Tamandua tetradactyla: one gene and its partner. The protein of the gene in region 2 interacts with the protein of the main gene of each other region in a pairwise test. Links are inferred from orthologs where the notes say so. Each region holds a gene or a part of one and is shown on either strand. Other genes may lie near its edges.

Evidence for each region. The genes of interacting proteins can lie anywhere in the genome.
Region 1: the proteins of C2H1orf216 (region 2) and ODAD1 interact in binary tests that used the Homo sapiens proteins (3 or more experiments, as listed by UniProt). The two-hybrid records come from large-scale screens. The link is inferred for Tamandua tetradactyla from reciprocal best matches to the Homo sapiens genes C1orf216 and ODAD1.

What each region holds. Positions count from the first base shown.
Region 1 is NC_135342.1:12,694,659-12,701,812, reverse strand, and holds the start of ODAD1 (outer dynein arm-docking complex subunit 1), read right to left. Parts: upstream 4,758-7,154; 5' UTR 4,668-4,757; intron 4,061-4,667; 5' UTR 4,004-4,060; intron 3,718-4,003; 5' UTR 3,695-3,717; coding exon 3,625-3,694; intron 2,533-3,624; coding exon 2,433-2,532; intron 2,321-2,432; coding exon 2,131-2,320; intron 1-2,130. UniProt on the Homo sapiens protein: Component of the outer dynein arm-docking complex (ODA-DC) that mediates outer dynein arms (ODA) binding onto the doublet microtubule. Involved in mediating assembly of both ODAs and their axonemal docking complex onto ciliary microtubules.
Region 2 is NC_135328.1:189,654,235-189,661,388, reverse strand, and holds the start of C2H1orf216 (UPF0500 protein C1orf216 homolog), read right to left. Parts: upstream 4,082-7,154; 5' UTR 3,922-4,081; intron 3,888-3,921; exon of another isoform or gene 3,781-3,887; intron 1,676-3,780; 5' UTR 1,671-1,675; coding exon 990-1,670; 3' UTR 962-989; intron 376-961; 3' UTR 1-375.

The DNA of each region.
Region 1 (7,154 bases), on a different chromosome or scaffold from region 2:
GTCAGTCACAGGTTCCATTGGCTCAAGGGGCAGGGGGGTGGCGCAGTAGGAGTATACAAAGATGTGACTAATTTGGGGGGTAACCTTAGGGTAGACCACAGCCAAGGTGGAGGTAAGTATATACTAGCTATAAATCAAGGCTTTCTTCCCCCTAAGAGCTGGTTTGCTCTTGCATACCTCTGACTGTGGGATATTTATTTTGGCCTAAACATTTCTAAGAAACTAACGGTGCCAAGAACAAAGAAAATTTGGGAGCCACTCATCCAAGAAATTCTCCCCTACCCCAAGATTAGAAAATACCCTCTTTCAATTTTTAAAACTGTTCACGTTTTGCTTTTCGTATGTAGCTCCCTAATCCAACTAGAATTTATGTTTTCATATGGTATGAGATCGGAATTTTTTTAAGCACTTGTATTGAGATAGAAATGGCATTCAATAAACTGCATATACTTAAAGTATACAGTTTTATAAGTTTTGACATAATCAAGATAGTGAACATATCTGTCACTCCCAAAAGTTTACTCGTTTCCTTTGTAACTCCTCCCTCTCCCTTCCTACAGCACCCTCTCCCCAGGCAACCACCGATCTGCCCCCTGTCACAATAGGATAATTTGCATTTTCTAGAGTTTTATACTAATGGAATCATATAATCTGTTCTCCTTTTTGGAGAGTGGGACATGGCTTCTTTCACTCAGAAAAAATTTGTGAAATTCATCCATTTTGTTGTATCAATGGTCTGTTCCTTTTCATGGCTGCATAGCCTTCCCTGGTACACATTCACCACAATTTGCTTACCCACTCGCCTACCAATGGATATCTGGGTTGCTTCCAGTTTTGAATTTTACAAATAAAGCTGTTATGAACATTCATGTACAATTTATTGTTTGGACATTTGTTTTCTTTTCTCTTGGCTAAATACCTAGGAGTGGATGGCTGAATCATGTGCTAGGTATAGGTTTAACATTTCAGAAACAGGGAAGCTGTTTCTCAACATTTTACACTCCCACCAGTAGTGTATGCGAGTTCCAGTTACTCCACATCTGTTAACACTTGGTATTGTCAATCTTTTTCATTTTAGCCAGTCTAGCAAATAATGTATAAGTATCTCATTAAGGTTTTCATTTGCATTTCCCTAGTGACTAATAGCATTGAACATCTTTTCACACGCTTATTTGCCATCATATATCTCCTTGGCGAAGTGTCTTTTCAAGGATTTGTGCCCATTTTTTCTATTGTTTTCTATTGTTCTCCTCCTATTGCATTTTGAAAGTCCTTTATAAATTCTGCCACAAGACCTTTACCAGATACATATTTTGCAAATATTTTCTCCCAGTCTGTGGCTTATCTTTTTATTCTCTTAAAAGTGTCTTTCAAAGAGCACAAGTTTTTAATTTTTACAATTCCAGCTTTTCAATTCACGCTTTTATAGATCATGTTTTTGGCACTCTATCTAAGAAATCTTTGCCTAACCCAAGGTCACAAAGGTTTTTTCCTACCTCTTTTTCTACAAGTTTTAGAGGTTGTATATGTTACATTTAAGTCCATGGCGGTTAACGTCTTATTTTTCCTTTTAAAAATCTTGTGCACAGAACATGTATTTACAACTTATAAATTCACAAAGTGAACGTCCTTGCAACCACCACCCCCAAGACATCCCAGGCACCTTCCGAGTGGCCCTTCTCAGCACTGCCATCTTCCTTTCCACAGAGGCACCACTGCCCTGCCCAGTTCGTTCCTATGGCTGCTGCACCAAATGGCCACCAATTTAGTGGCTTAAAACAACACAAATTTATTATTTTACAGTTCTGGAGACCAGGCATCCAAAATCAGTTTGCTGGATTAAAACCAAGAAGTCAGCTGGGCTGTATTCCTTCTAGCAGCTCTGGGGAACCATCCATTCCTCTTCCAGCTTCTAGATGCTGCCCTCATGCCTTGGCTCCTGGCCCTGCATCCCCTGACCTCTGCTCTGCCATCACATACATCTTCTGTCTCTGACCCACTGGACACAAACCTACTGGGAGGGTGCTTTCCGTGGCCCCATTTCTCAGATGAGAAAGCTGAGGCTCAGGGAGGTATGAACAGGCACTTGCTGCTACTTAGGATCCCCTGGAGCCTGGTCTCCATACCCACCTGCCTGTCCAGGTCTCTGGTCTGCTCCTGCAGCTCCCTGACCTCTTCCTCAGCCTGGGCCCGGCACTTCAGCAGGCGGCCCATGTGCTCCAGCCGCTCACTGTCCCGCAGCTTCTTGACCTGGCTCTGGGCCACGCTAATCTGCAGCTGGAGCTTGGCCCGCATTTCCTCCAGGTGCCGGATCTCTTCTCTGCCGGCCAGAGGACAGAGCTCAGCGTCACCAAAGGCCAACACACTACCCGTGCCCTCCTCCCTCAGATCCCCCTCGACCACCCCCTCTGGGGTCCATGCAATGGGCTCACAGTTGCTTGTTGATGCGCTGGTGGACTTCCTTGCTGTAGGCCCGCCTTTCACCTTCCATCACCTTGCACTGCCTCTGCAATCTGCTCAACTCCCAATCAGCTGAGGGCCGGTCCAGGCAACGGACTCAATGAGAATCTCTGTCCCCAACCCTCTCCTCCCCAAGACCTAGGCATTCTTGTCCACGTAGGGTCTCACAAGCTGCCCTTAAGCTCCCCCCACCCCTTCATACTCCCTGTACCCCAAGCTGACCTCAGGTTCTTTCCCCTAAACCCATTCTATCTGTTCCGCATATATCTGTTTTCCTACTAGAGAGTGCTCTTGGTGGGTCTCTCTGTCCCCAACAACCCTGCGGGACCAGAAACTCAGGAAAGCTCAGGACAGATGCTGGCTTCTCAGGCACCATCCTTGCACCCTCCTTGTGCCCTCCTTCCTCTGCAGCCCCCCATAACCTGGCAACTCTCAGCACCACCTGCCTGCTGACCCTCTCTGGCCTGACCCCAACGTTCAGGCCTCAACCTGCTGGCAGCCCCTCACAGCCCCAGAGGCTTCATTCTACACCCAGAGCTGACCCTGCCCCTTGGGCTCACCACTCTCCATGGCCCCACCAGGACAAGGTCCCAGTTCCTCAGTCTGGCGTTCAGGGCCCCACCCACCTACCTCTCCACTCTCACCCCCGAACTCCCCACTGTCAAAGCACTTTGCTCTAGCCCAATAGTGCTTAAACTGGAATGATTTTGCCCCCTCCCTCCCACCCCTGTCCCCAGCACACACACAAACACATCCCTACGGGATATCTGCTGATATCTGAAGATATTTTTAGTTGCTGCGATTGTTGGGGTGGGGGATGCTGCTAAACCTACAATGCGCAGGACAGCCCCCACTCCCAACCAAGAATGTCTCGACCCAAATGCGGATTGAGACACCCTGCTCCAGGCAGTCACTGTTCTCTCTGCTGATACACCCTTTCGTTCCTGCTCCTCTTGGTAACTCCTGGCAGGAGCCCTGCGCCCCACTCAAACCTGCCCTCCTGCGAGGTCTGCCTAATTCCCTCCAACCCCCAGGCTCGGCCCACCCATCTGGGATGGGACCCTGCAGGGCGCCTCCTCCTCGCCGCGGCGCAGGACCTGGAACTTGGAGAAAGCTCAGGACGCGAAAAGAACTAGTGGACTAAAGAAAGGAGGGAGGAATTACCCATTCCCTCCAATAAGGTCTCGGTTTCGTCTTCGGAGCGGGTGGTCCCTGCCGAAAGTCCCAAGGGCATCTCGGCCGAAGAGGGTGCGGCTCCTGTAGGGGCCGACACAGACCCCTTCAGAGAGCAGCAGGCGACAGCCGGGACGGGGGCGGCGCAAGACGGCGACTCCAGAACCTGCCCGGGCTTCTCTCGGACTCGATCCCCCCGAGGGGGTGGGCTGGGCCATCCCTCGGGCCTCTCCCCCCACCCCTCCAGCCCCAGCCTCTCGCACTCTCGTCTTTGAACTCGGCATCTCCGAGGCGGGACTGTATGGGGAAGGAGGTCACCGAGGAGGAGGAACCCCCCGGCCGGCTGTGGGGGTCCGAGCCCGCGCCCTACCTGCGGGGATGCCCGACTTGTCCTAGGTGCTCCAAGCTCACTGTTGTGGCCTGGTTACTGGGGAGATAAGGGACCAATGAGGCCAGAGGACAGCCGCCGCGGAGCCAAGGGGCGAGGCTGCGGGAGGAGGGCCGGGGTCGGGAGGGGCGGGGCGGGCCTTGGTGGGCGGGGCTGAGGGGCGGGATAGGAGGGGTCCCGGGTGGGGCGGGGCGGGGCTGTGGTGACGCGAGAGGCGTGGTGAGAAGGTTTGGGTGGGCGGGGCTGGAGGGTCTGGGCGGGCTTTGATGGGCGGGGCGGGGAGGGCCAGCGAGGGGCGGGGGCGGGCCCGGAAGAACCTGTGAGGGGCGGGGCTAGTCAGGGCAGGGGCTCAGACTCGGAGGGACTGTGGGAAGTCCAGATGGCATGGGTGGGGAGCACGGGACTGAGAGGGTCTCGGGAGTGTCGCGGGCATGCGTAGGGTGTGCTGTGTTTTCGGGGGGTAAAGGCGGGAGCTGAAAGAGCCTGTGGAGGCATGGCTGGGAGGAAACGTCTGGAAAGCGCTAGCTTGGAGGCAGCACGAGGTCCTCGGGGACGGGGTCTGAGAGGTGCGGGTCTGTGTTGATTAAGACCACATTGCTTTGAGAAGATCCCCTAGCAGGGACCGGTGAAGGGAAAAAGCTCTCACCACCGCCTCAGACGCTCGCAGCGGCTCGCCACGCATGCGCGGCCAACGGCCTCCAGCGAACCCGCCAAAAACCCGGGGCTGCCGTCGCGGTCCGCGCACTGAGACACGGAAATGGGCGGGGCTACGTCACTTCGAGCCGCCCCCGCCTTCCGGACACGCCCCCTTGTGGTCACGCCCCCTCTGCGACCAGTAGCTGCCCACCTGGGGCTATCCCCAAGTGGGCGTAGCTCCTTGCAGGCTGGGTGTGCCTGACGCCTGCGGTTTCCTGTGGGAGGAAGCGGCCCTTGGACGCTCAGCACTGCGTGAAGCCTCGAGGCCTCAGGACGGGGAGATCTCACCACCGCCCTTGAAATCTCCTGATTTTCCCCTTTCTGCAGGGTTCTGGCTTGGGAGACCCGCAACATCCCCCGGGTACCCAAATCTGGCGCTGATTCCAACCAGCTCCCGTTTCAAGTTTCCATCTCACTCGTCCCTGGTTCTGCTAATCCTAGGTTCCACTGGTCCTGGCCCCCTTTCCTGCACTCCATCAGTTACCTAGACTTTCTAACTAAGGATCCAAATTCAAAACCGCCGTCTGTGGACTGCCAGTCTTAGCTTTCCTCCAGGATTTGCCCCTTACCCAAAGCTTAGAGACCTTGAACTAGGGTCCAATACTGAATCCACCCAGGGCCCCATATAGTGCCTGTTGTGTGCCACGTACTGTTCTGAGAACTGTGCTATGATGGATGGAAGTGTTATTATCCCTGTTTTACAAATGGAGGAACTGAGGCCCAGAGAGTTTAAGAAGTAAAGCAGCTTAGATTTGAATTCAGCCAGTCTGGCTCTAGAGTCTGTGCTATACTGATACCCCCACTTCTGGGTCTTCAGTCACTGAGCTCAACTACCCCAGATGACCAACAACTTTCCCCAACCCCTAGCTCCTTTCAGGGATCCAGGACTGGAGTTTTCCTGGCTCTCAATTCCACATCAGACACTTGAACCCTTGGCCCTCACTTTTCAGGAGACTAGACACATCCCCAGCACCCAACCCTTCCAGGAGATCCAGGCACCTAGTCATCACCCCCATCCTAGTTCAATAACCCAATAATAAATAATAATAGTTAACATTAAGTTTCTGGGCCTGTTACCAGACAAGGGTAGTGGGTTCTTGCCTGATGCATTCAGTGACAAATTCCTGAGACACAGGGGTTTCAAAGAGAGAAAGGCTTTATTGCTAGGCACAAAACAGGAGAGCAGATGGCCTATGGGCCCAAAATTTGTCTCCCCAAACTGAGCTAATTCTGATAGTTTTATGGTATCAAAAGATGAACAGGTTTTAGGAAAATGAGCACAATGACTCTGGCTGTTGTAACGAGAGGTGATATAATTATTGAGCATGTACTGATTGATTATGTGCTCTGTCACAGAACATATGTAAGAAAATAGTGGCTTTGATATGATGATGGGCATGATTTTTAGTGTTATCATGAGGTACAGGTGAAGTATGGCTTAAAATCTAAGATACTGCGCGTGTCAGGCCATCCGATTAAGGTTAGATCCAGCTTTGGTAATCAAGATAACTTTGGAATTGGGGTGGGTTAGCTCTGGGCTGACCCAAGATCCTTCATTAATAAACATTAGGGGCTGTCTTTAGTGATCACAAGACTCCAAAGTCAAAAAAAAAAAAAAATACAAGTGAGGGTCAGTCACAAGGTTTTTACAATCACACGGATCAAGATAAAGGCTGTACATTCATTATCAGAGATCAAGGCGGTTAGATTACAGTTCAAACATTTCAGGTATTTCCCTCTATCTATTCCCATGTACTAAAAAGCAAACAATATACAGCTATATAATGATTCAACAACCATAATCATCCCTTAAATCCTAACTTCTCAGTTACAGATCATAAAACTCTTGTATCAAAAAGTCCAATGGCTTCCCACTGCACTGAGAATAAAATCCAAACTCCTCTCATAGGCCTCAAGGGCCCCCCCTTTTTTTTCTGTTCTCACCACCCCCCTCTCTGGGCTACAGCCACACTAGCCTTCTGTCTATTCCCCAGACCACCCAAGCTTGTTCTCAAAAGCTTTTGCACTAGCTGCTTCCTTCTCCTCTTAGCATTTGAGTGACTCCTATCTTCAGATCTCAGCTCAAATCTCCTCAAAGCTTTCCCTGACCACCCTGTTTAAAGTAGCCACCCCACCCCATCATTATCTCCATCACTCATTGTATTTCCTTCAAAGCATTTATCACTGTCCTTAATTTACTTAGCTCATTGATTTGTTTTTCCGTTATTGTGTATCTCCCGGTGCTAGACGGTAAACTCCATAAGAGCAGCAGGAATCGTCTTGGCTGTGTTCATTATTAATTCCTGGTTTATAGGAGATCGAAGAAAGTTTGATTAGAGGGAGGAAGAAAGCATTAAGAGCTTTCATGGCAGCACCACCTTACGCAACCCTCCTAACAGTATCACAAGTATTATTTAATGAGTGGCAGTATTTTGTC
Region 2 (7,154 bases):
TCCGTTCTTCACAGAGTTTTGCACTGGCATCTCTCCCAGTCCCATCCTCCATGTATCTACAGGCAGAGTTCAAGACGGACAATCTCCCATCTCCTCCTTTGGCACCCCACCCCCACCTCTGCCATGTTCTCCATCACTACCTCCCATTCCCCTTACTGATATCAATTCTTTGCCAACTGCCCTGACAACATCTCAGCCAAATTACCGTGGTAGGCCGAAGCTGGCATCAAACCTCTTACACAAATCCACCATCAGGAACAACAGCCTTAGCAGAACAAGGTCTGGGATGGGTGAGGAGAAGGAGAATGGATCAGCCACAACCTTCAGATTAAATGACAGCAGGCTAGCCCTCTCTCTTCACGAAAGAGTGGAACCCTGTGAAGAAAAAAAACTGAGGTGGGCCATAGGTAACAGGGTGCAGAAAGATGTCCCACACATGCATTTGAATATATATTTGCCCATACCTGCTCATATGTCTGTCTGCAAATACACATGCTCCTGATACATGCTTTTACATGCCTGCACTTGCATACATGCACCCCTGCACTTAAGACTTGGACATACAAGGGCTCGTTCATGTACACCCAAAACAAGCCTGCACACGCAAACTCACTCATATACCACATTTTGCATATACATCCTTACTTGTAACATATACACACACTGATGGGGACCTGTCCATGCATGTATATACAAACTTACTGTTACATACGTGTTATACATATACATATGTTCACTCTTACATACTCACACATAGGTCTGCAACTAAGTTAGCTTATGCATGTACATGTGCACCCACAGCATACTTAAGTTCATGCACAAGGTGCTTATTCACACATACCTGCACCTACTTGCATATCTACCCAATATGATGGCATATACGCACTCACTCATGCCAGCATATAATCATATACTTACTTGTCACAACCATGCACATATGCCTGCAAATATATACACATACCCTTGCACACCTGCGGGAGTTTACACCCTTAGCCCTGGTCTTGGGGGCGGGTTGGTGCTGCCCCCTGCTGGAAACAACGGATAAGTTCTTTTCGGTTGACAAGGATAGTATCAAAGCTCTCCTGCAGACGGGCCTGCTGGTCAACCAGTTGATGCTGCAGGCTCCGGATCCATTGGAGCAAGGCCAGGCGACGGTACATCACCAAATGCACATGGTGCTTTTCCTTCTCCTGCTCTTTGTAGCGCTCCTGGGCCTGAAGCTGCTGCACTGCATGGGCCACTGAAGGCAGAAGAGGATCTGGAGGGCCAGGGCCTCGAGGAGTCCCACAGACTGGCTCAGGGCTGCTGCTAGGGCTGTCAATGCTCAAGGAGCTGCTGGCATAGCCGTTGTCCTCCAGTGGGGAACAGACTGTGCTGCCACCAACTATCTTCTCAAGCTCAGCCCTGGGGATCTCTGCCCCTTCTGGAGGACTACGGATCTCCTCCTCGAGGTCCTGGAAGGCCTTGTTGTCAGAGGGTGACTCAGGGGAACTCCCCATCAGGATGGGTTCCACTTTGCCTGGCATCCCATGCCAGTTTTCATTGGCATCTCTGACATTTGCCACGAAGTTGGAGTTGCTGTCTGGTTGGAAGTCAGGCTGACATACCCCAGGAGGTGGGCCCCCCAGGAGCTGGCCCCCCTCAGCTAGCCCTGGTTGAATGGCAAACATCTGGTCTGTAAGGGGGAAGCAGAGGAATGAGTCACAGCAAGACGGGGTGGGATGACTGAAGTCATGCTACTGCAGCTGCCAAGACAAAGTGGCAAACATGAGGCTGGCTGCTCTTAGTCCCTCTCCTTTGACCCTGATAATAGCCCCACTTCATGGTTTTTCTCCTCCCTCTCTGAATCTTCCTTCTCAGTCTCCAGTACAGGGTTCTTCTCTGCCCATCCTTTAAATGGGCAGCCTTTTAAAGCAGGTTTTCCTCAGCCTTCCAAAGCAGGTTTTCTTCTCTTCTAACTGCATTCTCCCCAGATGACCTCATCCTCTGCTGTAGCTTCAAACCATCCATATGTCTCCAGTCCAGTTACAGCTGCTATCTAACTGTCAAAGACACCCCTTAACCTAGAATTTGGCTCTCCAAATTCTACTCATCCAAACCAGCCCTCTTTTCAGTGTCCTCAGCAAAATGGCTCCACTACCCATTCAGTCACCCCAGTCAGAATCCTGGAGCAACCTGGACCCCTCACTCTCCGTCCTGCCCCCATTGAATTGGCCACACAATTCTCATGATTCTTCCTCTTTAAAAACCTTCGTGTGTGTGTGTGTGTGTGTGTGTGTGTGTGTGTGTGTGAGTATGTGTATGTATCTCCTCACAATTTCATTTGGTTCAGGCCATTTCTTCCTAGGATTACTGACACAGACTTTTCACTGATCTCTCTGCCTCCAGTTAAACATATAAATTTGAATGATCACTGCAGCTGCGCCCTCACTAAACTCTTGCTAAACCTCTCTACATGGCCAAGAAGACCCTGCTTGATCCACCTTCTGCTCACCTCTCCAGACATGCCTCTTGCCACTCTGGCCCTCCCCCAACAAACTACCCAGAGATTTCAGAACACACCATATTTTTTTCAAGCAATTTGCTTGGCCTACAATGCCCATATTCTCCTCTTCCCTCTAAGCTTTCTCCTTCTCCACCCAGCACATTCCTTCACCTACTTCAAAACTCAATTCCAATTATCTTCACCTCTCTGAAGACTCCCCTGATACCACCCTCCCACTCATCCACCCCCACAGTTAATTATGCCTTCTTCTGGGTTCCCACTGCCCTGGGTACACACTGTACTATCCATGTTTGCTTCCTGTTGCTGGCACATAGTTGAAAATCAATAAATGTTTATGTAACTGTTTTTTCAACTATCTTGTAATGGTACCTTGTAAATCTGGATCCCCAAGGAGCTGCTTGCTCCTTGATGTTCTCCATCACATCCCCAGGACCCAGCACAGAGTCTAGCACTTAGCAAATTGGTCAATCCATGCTTGCTGAGTGAATGAATAGGGGAGCAGGGACTCCCCTGGGAGTTCCCTGCCCAGGATGATGGTGGCAGGAGTCTACTGCTGACTACCCAGGACTAGAAGAGCTGGCTTCAGTTCCCACCTCTGCTCCAGGGTGCCCCCCCCAATCCCCCCATTGACAAACTTCTCCTCTGAGCTCACCCACTTCCCTTCCAGTTCCCCTGGAACATGACTACATCTTGTGTCCCTGCCTCTGGTTTGCTCTATCCACAGGCCCTGGAGAGTGGCCATGCCACATCACTTTTCCTTTTCCAATAACTGATTTTTACCCAAATTAGGGTTTGAATTGACAAGCGATTTCTTCTGATCACTTACTACTGGGATTAGAGAGACTGACGATTATCACTAAGAGTGCGGGATACTATATGCACAACAGGTACTAGAGGTGGACAGGGTCCCTCCCCACATCCAGTAGCCAGGACAAGTCCTGAGTAATGATCCCTTTGTAACCTGCATCCCCTCCTCACCATCCCCCACCCCCACCCACCACATATACATCCCTTTACGAAAGGCTCGCTGGAAGGTGCCTGGAAATCTTTCCTTGTGCAAAATTTTTATTTTTCCTAGGTTTGGGCCATAAAGCAGGCTAGGATGAGTGAGGGTGGCGCTAAGGATCACGTTTTATCAGAGATGGCAAAATTGGAGCCCAGATACCCCAGGATCAGGCCTCTCCCTGAACTAATCCGCAATCTGCCCGGGATGGGGGTGGGGACTCTGTAAGGATGGGGGCGCCCAGGGGGCCTCCCTTCCTGCTTGGCCTTACCAGAGAGGGACACTCCCGCCAACACACAGGATAGAGACCACCGTTCCCTAACCTCTACAGAAGAGGCAGCTGGGCGGAGGCTTCAACTCCCCCTCTCCCGCGGCTGGGCCGCAATCCCTCCCCCTCTGGGCCCCAACTCACAGCCGAGAGGAGCCCGCCCCGGCGCGGCGGGTTCTGGTTCCACCCCGGCCACCTACGGGAACCCACTCGGGCCGAGGGGTGGGGGTGTCTTTCGGCCTGGGCGTCCACGTGGGCTAGGGCGAGGGGCGCGGGGCGCGAGTTGCGGGGCGGCGCGGCCAGCCCCAGGCCCAGACTGCGGAGTGGGGCGGCGTCAGCGCGGCGGGGCGGGGCGGCCGGGTCCACGTGGGCCGGTTCGGCTTTCCGCTGAGCGGCGCCTCTGCGCAGTGGGCCGGAACCGCAGCCCCCCACCCTTCGGCTGTCTTTCCCCGACCGCCCAGGTCTGGTTTATCTCCTAAGGGCTTTCACTGCACCGCTTCGCCTCACTGCGGACACAGTGATATTTTCAAAATGAAAGTCTGATCCTGTCACCACCCCTGCGGTTTGGAACAGTTCAGTGGCTTCGCGCTGCAGGGAAAATCCTTAAGGCAACAGCCTCAGGGCCCTCGGCGCGTTCTGCGGGCTACCTACCTCTCCAGTTACGTTTTAAGAGGAGAGAGGAAAAATCCACCTTGGGAAAGGGCTGGGGATAAGGTCCGGCCCCCGAAGTGGGGTGTCAGGCTAGGAGACAAGGGAAGATGAGAGGAATTTCCACTCCAGGAAATAGGATAGGCATATAAGGGTTCTTCATTACGAAGAAAGAGGTGGGTAGGATCGAAGCGTTTTCACCTCAAAGGTCATGCCACTTCCCACCCACGCATTCGCATTCAGCCCACGGTTTAGAGAGCTTACTTTGTGCCAGTTATTGCCACGGTAATTTAGAGCAGAATCAGACCTGGTTGTGGCCTTGGGGAGCTTTCAGCTTGGAAAGGGTTACAGACTCAGAAAAGTGGGGTGTGCGATGTGATGGGTCCTGCCACCGAGCTAGGAGGCAAATGCAATGAGTGCAAAGGAGGGTAAAGAAAGGCTTCACACAGAGGTGTTATTTGAGGCAGGCCTGGAAGAATGAGTCTGCTCACTACAGAAAGGGGAGAAGGTGAGAGGATGCATATTTAGTGTATTTAGGGAACAGGAGGCTGGTGTGGGGAAAATGGAGGTAGGAAACAACGCTGAAGGGTAAACTGGACCAGTTGTGCAGGGAATTTGGGTTTCATCCTGTGGGCTGCAGGAAGATAACTGAGGATGTACTCAAAGTGCCACATCAGAACCAAGTCCTGGAGTACAAGCTACATTGCTAACTGGTTTCTTCTCTTTTCCCGAGCTCATATTATCTGTTAGCTTTCTCACATGGTTTTGGGAACTTAGGCAAGTCATTTTAACCCTTTAGGATTAAATAAAAAAGAATATGCCCAGAAATGGTTAAATACTTACAGTTGTACTTGTTGTTTCTCAGGCTCCCCAAGATCAGACACAGCCCAGGGGTCCCTTTGATATGCAAGAGAACCCTTAAGGCAGATTAGAAGGAAAGTCATTTGGCTTGCTCATCTCAGGAAAAAAAGGCCTAGGAAGCTGGTGACCTAGTTGTTTCTTTCCTCCATTTCCCCACTGCCTCTTAAAGGTCAAGTGCACTTAGTCCACCTAGGAATGACAGTGTGATCACATCCATTCCCCCACACCCGATATGGCTGGGTTTTTTTTTCTCAGTTGCTAAATGAGGAGGAGGTACCTCAAAACAGAGGGTTTTTTTTTCTTTTTTTCTTCTTATATGTATTTTTTATTTTATTTTTTTAAAGACCAAAAAAACACCAAATGCAAACATTCCTATTTTGATCATTCCATTCTACATACATAATCAGTAATTCACAATATCATCACATAGTTGCATATTCATCATCATGATCATTTCTTGGAACATTTACATCTATTCAGAAAAAGAAATAAAACGAAAACAGAAAAAATATTTATACATACCATACCCTTACCCCTCCCTTTCATTGATCACTAGCATTTCAAAGTAAATTTATTTTAACATTTGTTCCCCCTATTATTTATTTTTATTCCATATGTTCTACTCATCTGTTGACAAGGTAGATAAAAGGAGCATCAGACACAAGGTTTTCACAATCACACAGTCACATTGTGAAAGCTATATCATTATACAATCATCATCAAGAAACATGGCTACTGGAACACAGCTCTACATTTTCGGGCAGTTCCCTCCGGCCTCTCCGTTACATCTTGACTAACAAGGTGATATCTACTTAAAGCGTACAAATAACCTCCAGGATAACCTCTCCACTCTGTTTGGACTCTCTCAGCCATTGACATTTTGTCTCATTTCACTCTTCCCCCTTTTGGTCTAGAAGGTCTTCTCAAGCCCTTGATGCTGAGTCTCAGCTCATTCTAGGATTTCTGTCCCACATCGCCAGGAAGGGCCACACCTTTGTTTTAAAACTTTCTTCTTTTGAAGGCTTGGAATCTTTCCCCTCCCCACCCACCCAAGGAAAATCATTGCAATACACCCAATTTGAGATTTCCTCTCTTCCCCTGAACCTCTCCATCCTAAATGGCTGCTGAGGGGCCTCTGAGGAAGCTTTTAAAGCTCCTCAGAGCTTTAAAAATGGCAATTTCAAATACATTGCATTAGATGAACCTAGGAGATAAATTCTCCCCTCCTAAGGGATAAAGGAGAAACAGGGTGTTTGGATTTGCTGGAAGAATGAGAGTGTAGACTTTCTCCCACAGCAAAACATGGTAAATGCCCTCTTGACCCACTCTTCCAAGGCCCTGAGGTAGATGGCATTCCAGAGCCTATAACAGAGGGAGAGGGCTGGGTGGAGGAGCTGAACGAAAGGAGAAATGAGAGAAGGGGATGCCTGTTCCACCCCCTTCCTAGCAGCTGCCTCCATGGGCTCCATAATCCTCATGCCCTCCGGCCGCCCACCTCTCCTCCACCCACCCCATTCATCATCAGTAGGAGGGCACAGCATCAGGACAGTCTTTCAGGGCTTGACAGGTCCTTTCTGGGTGCCCCCCACATGTAACCACTTAACCCTCAACACAAAGGGCCAGGCTGAATGGGCTTGGAGCCGGTGGCTCGTGCGGAGGGGGAGGCCCCAATAGGATTTGGGGAGCTGGGTGTATAAACAGCTCTGCTCTAGCAGTCTTCAATGGAGGAGCTGCAGTCGGGGCATGTGCCGAGAGGAGGAGCCCGGCAGCTGCATCCCGCCCCTGAACAATGATTTATTCATTCTCCTGGCATGCATAGAGAAGATGGGCTGGGGGAACGCGGCCCCACAAATGGCCCTCAGCCTCAG